Arabidopsis thaliana: one gene and its partner. The protein of the gene in region 2 interacts with the protein of the main gene of each other region in a biochemical or structural test. Each region holds a gene or a part of one and is shown on either strand. Other genes may lie near its edges.

Evidence for each region.
Region 1: the proteins of CO (region 2) and NF-YC1 form a complex in vitro, tested with the Arabidopsis thaliana proteins (one study listed by BioGRID).

The regions. Positions count from the first base shown.
Region 1 is NC_003074.8:18,008,055-18,011,807, forward strand, and holds NF-YC1 (nuclear factor Y, subunit C1), read right to left. Parts: upstream 1,965-3,753; 5' UTR 1,885-1,964; coding exon 1,184-1,884; intron 843-1,183; coding exon 839-842; 3' UTR 539-838; downstream 1-538. Other genes in the region: XTH11 (xyloglucan endotransglucosylase/hydrolase 11), read left to right, coding at 1-287; AT3G48600 (SWIB complex BAF60b domain-containing protein), read right to left, coding at 2,114-2,251, 2,633-2,962, 3,091-3,309; NPC6 (non-specific phospholipase C6), read right to left, coding at 3,599-3,753. UniProt on the Arabidopsis thaliana protein: Stimulates the transcription of various genes by recognizing and binding to a CCAAT motif in promoters.
Region 2 is NC_003076.8:5,171,142-5,174,894, forward strand, and holds the start of CO (B-box type zinc finger protein with CCT domain-containing protein), read right to left. Parts: upstream 1,945-3,753; 5' UTR 1,557-1,944; coding exon 795-1,556; coding exon of another isoform or gene 654-794; exon of another isoform or gene 562-653; coding exon 202-561; coding exon of another isoform or gene 197-201; 3' UTR 1-196. Other genes in the region: AT5G15843 (uncharacterized protein), read left to right, coding at 197-555, 654-770, 1,088-1,241. UniProt on the Arabidopsis thaliana protein: Transcription factor that acts in the long day flowering pathway and may mediate between the circadian clock and the control of flowering.

The sequences.
Region 1 (3,753 bases), on a different chromosome or scaffold from region 2:
TGCAGACAATGTTCCTAATGGGAAGTGTGCAAAACGGATCGATAATTGACCCGAAGCAGATGCCTTACATTGCTAAGTTCCAGGCATCAAAGATTGAAGGGTGTAAGACTGAGTTCATGGGAATAGATAAATGCACTGATCCTAAGTTCTGGTGGAATCGCAAACAGCTAAGCTCTAAAGAGAAGACACTGTACCTAAACGCAAGGAAGACGTACCTGGATTATGACTATTGTTCTGACAGACAGCGATATCCAAAGGTGCCTCAAGAATGTGGAAGTTACACTTAGAGAAAGATCAATACCTGTCACAGGGTTAAGCCTACAAAACAATTATCTTGAAAAAATAACTTATGTTACTGTAAGATGCTTTATGATAAGCCTTTTCTATCAAATAACAACATTATTGTCATCAATGCTAGATACATTACTATGTCACGAGTTCATATACAGATACCTATTTACACAGAACCAAGTTGGTTCAGATCGGGTTTGCTTGAGGTTTACAAGCACTGAAACCTCTGAAAAGAACCTTACAGGTTACAAGACTGCATTTTCTCAGACATCAAGATAAGTCAAATATGAGAAAAAATCGGAAAGAAGCATACAATAGAAACTGCACATTAGATTATATATAGTTAGGCTAAGTCGCAGCAATGATGGTTTTGCTACAATAACATATACGTTAACAGAGAGAAACAAGAGTTTTTTTTACTCTTCTTTAACGAAGCCTTTTCATTGAATTTAGGCATAATCTATCAAACACATCCAAAATTCAAGGCGAGGTCGACTAATATCTGCTATCTTCAAGCAGGTCAAGCATCATCTGGAATACTCTGAGCTTAACTGCAAAAATGATACCAAAACATTGAAAGGTAAGTTTAAGGAGCCATAGTTCATTGATTCATTCAGATTCAGCAGAAGAGCAAGAGAATCTAGTTGTTTGATATAGCAATGTTTGCAAATTGCGATATGAAAACAATTTTCAAATCTTGATGATTACAGGATTAGAGATTGTTTATCATTCCAAATCCTAAAACCTTAATAAACAGAGAAATCTTGGACTAACATGATTATATCCCAAACAAACCAGACTTAGAGATTGTTTATCATTCCATCTCCTAAAACCCTAGACGATCATGTAATCAATCAATGTATATCACATTGCACAGAAAATGAAACTTTACCCTTGGCCGTCGAGATTCCCTTGACCGGAACTTCCACCACTACCATAAGAGACATCATCTCCCGTCCCCGTCGAAGTCTGCCAAACACTCTGCCACGCCTGAGACGGAGGCTGGACATAAACACCATTCGGATCCATAGCTGGTCTCCCAATCATCATCCCTCCAGGACCAGCTGGTTGTCCCATCGGCGGATAATAGTAAGGCACGCCGCTCGCGGTAGGAGCCACCACCATTCCACCACCGAGGACTGCGGCTTCGTCCTTAATCTCATCTCTAGGAACAATATCAACAAGGAAATCGAAGATATCAGTCCTAGTAATCGCAGCAGCGATATCGTTTTTCTGAAGCGTACGACGTTTATTCTCCTCAGCGTGAAGCCAAGATCTGATCGTGAGCTCGAGAATGAAAAGCTCACAAGCTTTCGCGAAGAGAATCGGTGCTTCTGCGGAGATCATACGAACATCTTCATCGGCTTTCATGATCTTTTTTATCCTAGCTAGTGGAAGCTGATGGTTTTTGAAATCGTTAACTTGTTCGATCTCTTGGCGTTGGTAGGTCCAGAATAGTTGGAGCTGTTGTTGTTGTTGTTGGAGAAGGTGGTGGTAAGAAGCTCCTCCTCCTGCGGCGGAGATGGTGGTTCCAGGTGGTGGAGGAGGGATTCCGGCGGCGGAGGGAGGTGGTTGCTGGTTGTTGGTATCCATTGGTCGGTTTTGGATTTTGATTTTTGGATCAAAAAGGTCGTGACAAGTTTTTGCCAAAGGGATTGGGGTACAAGTGGATAAGGTGGACAGCGATGTAGCTGATGATTTTCTCTCTTTTTTTTCTATTTCCTAAATTAATTTTTTTCTATTTTCTATTTCAAGTTAAATTTTGTTTTTTTTTTACACGTACCAAAGTTCATATGCATCCGAAATGAACCAAAAGAAAACATCAAGAGTGAAGAGAGCTGTCAGGAAAATGTTGCATCAAGAGTGAAGAGAGCTCTTTATTTCCGACTTTGTCTTTGCCATCGAGTATCGTCTTCAAGGTATCATCGCATCGTATCCGCCATTTACTACACTTCGTAATCTACAAATGAAACAAGTGAGCTCTAAACAAATCATAATCTCTAAACATGAAAATGCAATCTATGACCACCAAACAGAGAAGCAAGCACAAGGTCCAAAGCCACCTAAAGACACTCTATATTCGTAACTGGTGAATTCTTCATCTGACAGTGTATGAATTGACAAGCTAAGTTTTCAAAATATGCAATCAGAAAAGACCATTTCCACAAACAAAACCAAAACATTCAAGTGAGTAAACAACATTTTCAGCGTAGATGTCAATTACTCCAATAATGACCAACACAAGAATCAAATCACTACCATTCTCCAGTCTCTAGAGACTCCAATCCCTAAATGCATAAACATGTAAAGAGGAGATCATAAGGAAAGTAAAAAAGCTAACCCAAGGAAACTCGAGCAGAGTAACACCCTCATCTACGAGCTTGTGATCAAAGGCATAATCTAGCAATTTTCTCAAGGCGGCGTCAAAAGAGATTTCGCTTTGGCCGACGAATCTAGCCAGCGGCTCTGAGACTTTCACAATATCATTGAACCCCCATTTTTCTATAGTACCTCCACCGGTAGCCTTCACCTTCGCCGACATAGTTCTAACGTTAGGAAAATGTCGCAACAAAAGCTCCGTCATCTCTCTGACTCCGACGACTTTGTCTTGGCCATCGAAAATCGTCTTCAAGTTATCATCGCACAGTATCTCCTCTATATTCTCCGGATTCTACAAATCAAAGACCTATAAATCAGATACATTGCTCCAACAGAAAGAATCAGATCAAAAGACCTAGAAATCACCAAAAAAAAAAGTAGAATGAAAGGAAACTGGAGAAGAGTTTCGAAATCCCTAACCCAAAGATTGTGATCATCGGTATACTGCTCCACTTTCTCCATGGCGGTGGAAAAAGAGACTTCGCTTTGGCCGACGAATCTAGCCAGCGACTCTGAGACTGGAAAAATCTTATGAATTCCTCCTCTTCTATCAACGCCGGCGCCGGTAGCCGTCGCATTAGTCACCGCCTTCGCCATCAGTGTCCTGCATCCTCCTAGAATCTTAGAAATTGGCGACATTGTTGTTTCTCCTTCACTCCACTGCCCCTAACAATAAACAATTGAAGAAAAGTCTCCAACTAAAGAAATTGATGCAACTCATTTTGGGCCTTGTTGAATATTTATATATGGGCCTAATTGGGCTTCAGTTATATTGGGAGTTTATGAAGATCTTTCGATTGCTCAACATATCACTAACATTAACAATGAATTTTGTCTATTTCTTTGTTCCTCAATTCTAGTTTCCATACATAAAATCACACATTTTCAGATCAAAACATAGGAAGACGAATGCAAACAAGATTTTTAATCAGTTGTGTGGCCGTGTAGTGAGCGAAGATCGCATATCGACAATAGCAGATTTATCGGCACCAAGCTTCATTGCCTCTTTACTAGCTCTAATGAACCGAGAAGTAGCTCCTTTGACATACTCATGAGCTTGTTTCACAGTCATCTTCTTTCCAA
Region 2 (3,753 bases):
ATCTGTACCAATTAGACTGGTTTTGTTTAACTAATGCAGAGAAAGAAGAATACTATAGTTTTAATTAGCCAAAACTACAAACCCATTTGCACAACAGTAGTAATACTTCTTGAAGCTAAGAATTTCACCAAACCTAACATAATCTCAAACTAAAAGTAATTTACAGCTTGCAATCTAGTTTTTCTTTTTGCCACAGGAGTATCAGAATGAAGGAACAATCCCATATCCTGTGTTGTACATTAGCATCGTGTTGAACCCTTGCTCCTCGGCTTCGATTTCTCTCTTTGCGAACCGGCCATTGACCCGCGGTCTTATCTCTGCATATGCCTTCCTCGAAGCATACCTTATTGTCTTCTCAAATTTCCTTGTCTTCCTCTTCTCTCTGTATCTCAGGACCCTGGCTTCTCTGTCCATTGGACTGAGTTGTGTTACTGTTATCATCTGGCTTGCAGGGTCAGGTTGTTGCTCTACTGTCCCTTTGGGCGTTCTTGGGTGTGAAGCTGTTGTGACACATGCTGTTGACTCCGGCACAACACCAGTTTCCATGGATGAAATGTATGCCTAATGACAGAAACAAAGACATTCTCAATCCCCCTGGTAAGAGGACTAAAGAGAGTCGATGCAAAAGGAAGCATATATTGTTTTTATTATAGACTTCTGGTGAAATTTCTATGTGCTATAGATCAACTGTTGGCAGTGGATCAGTGGATTTGTGTGTATGATGAAAGAATTCACCCTGCTGCGTTATGGGAAGATGCTAAATTGAAGGGGTAACAAATATACAAAAGCCTTACGTTATGGTTAATGGAACCATTGTCGTTGTAGTGAGTCCCTGAGGAGCCATATTTGATATTGAACTGAAAATTCTGTTGGTTATGGCACTGGTGGCCCCTTGATTCTTCAAGTTTAAGCGGAACAACTCTATCTCCCCCGTAGCTCGTCTGTGGTACGCTGCAGTTTTGTTGGTGTTGACTGTATTCACCTGTGAATTTGTAGTCCATACTCGAGTTGTAATCCACAAGGTTTAGATACTCATCACTAAACAATAACCCATTGTTTTGGTTATTGTTATTTTTGTCTGAATTAGGGAACAGCCACGAAGCAACCTCCTTGGCATCCTTATCACCTTCTTCACCTTCCTCTTGATCCACCACCAGTCTCTTCTCTGGATCGGTCATTGTTTTCTCGCTTTGGTGGTGAGTAGTGGTCATGGAGCTGAAAGAGTTTCCAGAAATTGGTAGAATTGGAACTCGCTGATGGCGTCTAGCAAGTGGGTTTGCAGAATGAACCTCTGAATCACAGGCTGTGCATAGAGAGGCATCATCTGCCTCACACAAAAAAGCAGCCGGAGCACGCTCACATGACTCGCAGACCCGGACACGTTTATGGCGGGAAGCAACGCGATTGGCAGAGTGAACTTGAGCATCACAGCTCATGCACAAGTAGGCAGAATCTGCATGGCAATACACGGTGCAGGCGTTTGACCGGCATGTGTCACAGGGTCGTGCCCTGTTGTTCTCTCCACTACCTATGTCGTTACTCTCTTGTTTCAACATAATAACTCAGATGTAGTAAGTTTGATGGTGTGGGAGCTGGTATCTGAAAGAAGGGGCTAATAAAGCTTATATCTGGTGTGAGAGAATAAGTAGAGGGGAGATCGAATCCTGAGTGCCTACACGTGGCACAGCGTTAGTGGCTCTTACATGTTATTGGATCCTCTTGCAGCTAGTTGAGCTTTTGGGAAGGCCTATGTGTAAAGTGTAAAGTGTAAAGTGTAAAGTGTAAACATCTCCTCCTATGCACTTCTTCGTTGGGACCCGTTCACAAGTTGCTTAGGTTTTGCCACTTGCCATACTGAGATTCTCAAGAGGAAGTGGTCCGGATAATGCCATGGTGTTGCAGGCAAATTGTTACTATTTTTTCGTATCACCTTTTACTATTTTCATATGCATTTTATTTAAAGTAAAGCTAGATTCGTTTTATCTCTTTGGCTTTATACAAAGTTTAAGTGGTTGAATATTCATCCTGAACCTTGTGATTACTGTTCAGGTATCTCTCCGAGTAAGGCTTCGAGTGTCAGAGCCATCACCAACTGTTATGGGTTGACTACCTATACAAAGGTTAGACAAACTCGTGAATATGGTATAGTTGTTGTTCCATTATTTGTGAATGCATCTGCATCATTTAGAAAGATTTGCAATTGAAACTTTCGAAGGATTTTCTGATGAAAAGTGTTATAATGTTTAATCTGGTTCATAAAGTCATGGTAATGAGAATCATATCGGAAAAGTGACATGAAAAACATAGAGACGGTGGATTTTCTAGGATCAAACTCGAATCCGCCAAGTAGTCTTGAGACTACAAATTAGAATTTACCTGACGCACAAGTTAAAACTTAAAAGGCATTTTGGAGTCCACATGAGCAATAATTAGATTTATCATATATAGTATGTAGAAATTTGCACTTGGTAACCATTATAGTAAGTAGTTACAAAACATGACTCATGAGTGTTGTCACATCTCTGTAATTTGGGTTTATGATGATACTCTATACTATTTATTGTAGCTTTATTAGATCTCAACCTGTGGAAGTAATCTAATACAAACGACACTTGTATGGAATTTTCAGGACATGTTTCTAAGATCACAGAGGTAATTGTGAAGTTTTCTGCTACACTCATTTACTAGTCCACATGATCCATAGATGCAATTTAACCATCTTCACTCTATTTGGTGACCCATTCATGTGTTTAGCATCGTGGGTTTTCCTGTACTAATAACCATTAGTACTTGGAGTTGCCTTGTTGGTGTTATGCTCATAATGTTTACTATGTGGAAGCTACAGGATACGATACTCTCTAGGTTTGAGGACTAGCTCCAGTTACGCTTTTGGGTCCAGTGAATGTATGATACCCATTATGTGGTCCAAAAAGAATGAGATTTGACGGACGCTCTAGTGGCCAAATTCATATGGCTACCTTCACTCTATGCCTTAAGAGCTGAAAAGTGAGTGTTTTTTTTTTGTATAAAATGCTGGTCCTAGGATACACTTTTCGCATCTCTTCCTCTTTCATATTTGCTTACACCGCACTTCTCTTTCCCATTTTGAACTTTAAACTTTGAAAAGTTTTTTTTTGCTTGGTAATTGGAACTTAACATACAAGTTCTTGTTATTTACTGGTTTTACGATGAATGTAATGGCATTTAGAATTGTTATGAAATGGTTATATGATCATTGAATTCTAAAGAAAAGATTCTAGGTTCTTTAGTAAGCATTTTTGGAGATCTTTATCCTGCCAAGTTGGATAAGTTGAGGCATCTTTGGCTTTTAGTGCTTTGGTGATGAAATTTTTTGGAGATTGTAACGTGGTTCGAGTTCATGAAGAGTAAATTGTGTATTGGCCTTTTCACTTGTAGCTCAAGAAAAAAGTAGTTTTGCTTATTATTGCTCGTTGACAGTCTCTAATTAAGTTTATTGTTGTAGCGGTTTGGAACTTCTCTCACATGTGTAGGCCTTCGGATAACTGTTACGAGTAATAGATCATATGTAACAATATCCTCAAAGTTGCATCGAGATTTTCAAGAAAACACTATTGCTTATTTGTTTTCATTCTTTATCAGGTTTCCGTGGTTTCGAATACTTTGCTTCTTTCAGATTAACGAAAACCCTATTTAGTTGCAAAGACTGAGAAGAGAATAAGAGTCGAGGGACCATATAAAGCTTGTAATTGTACGTTTATGCGGATTCTCCAC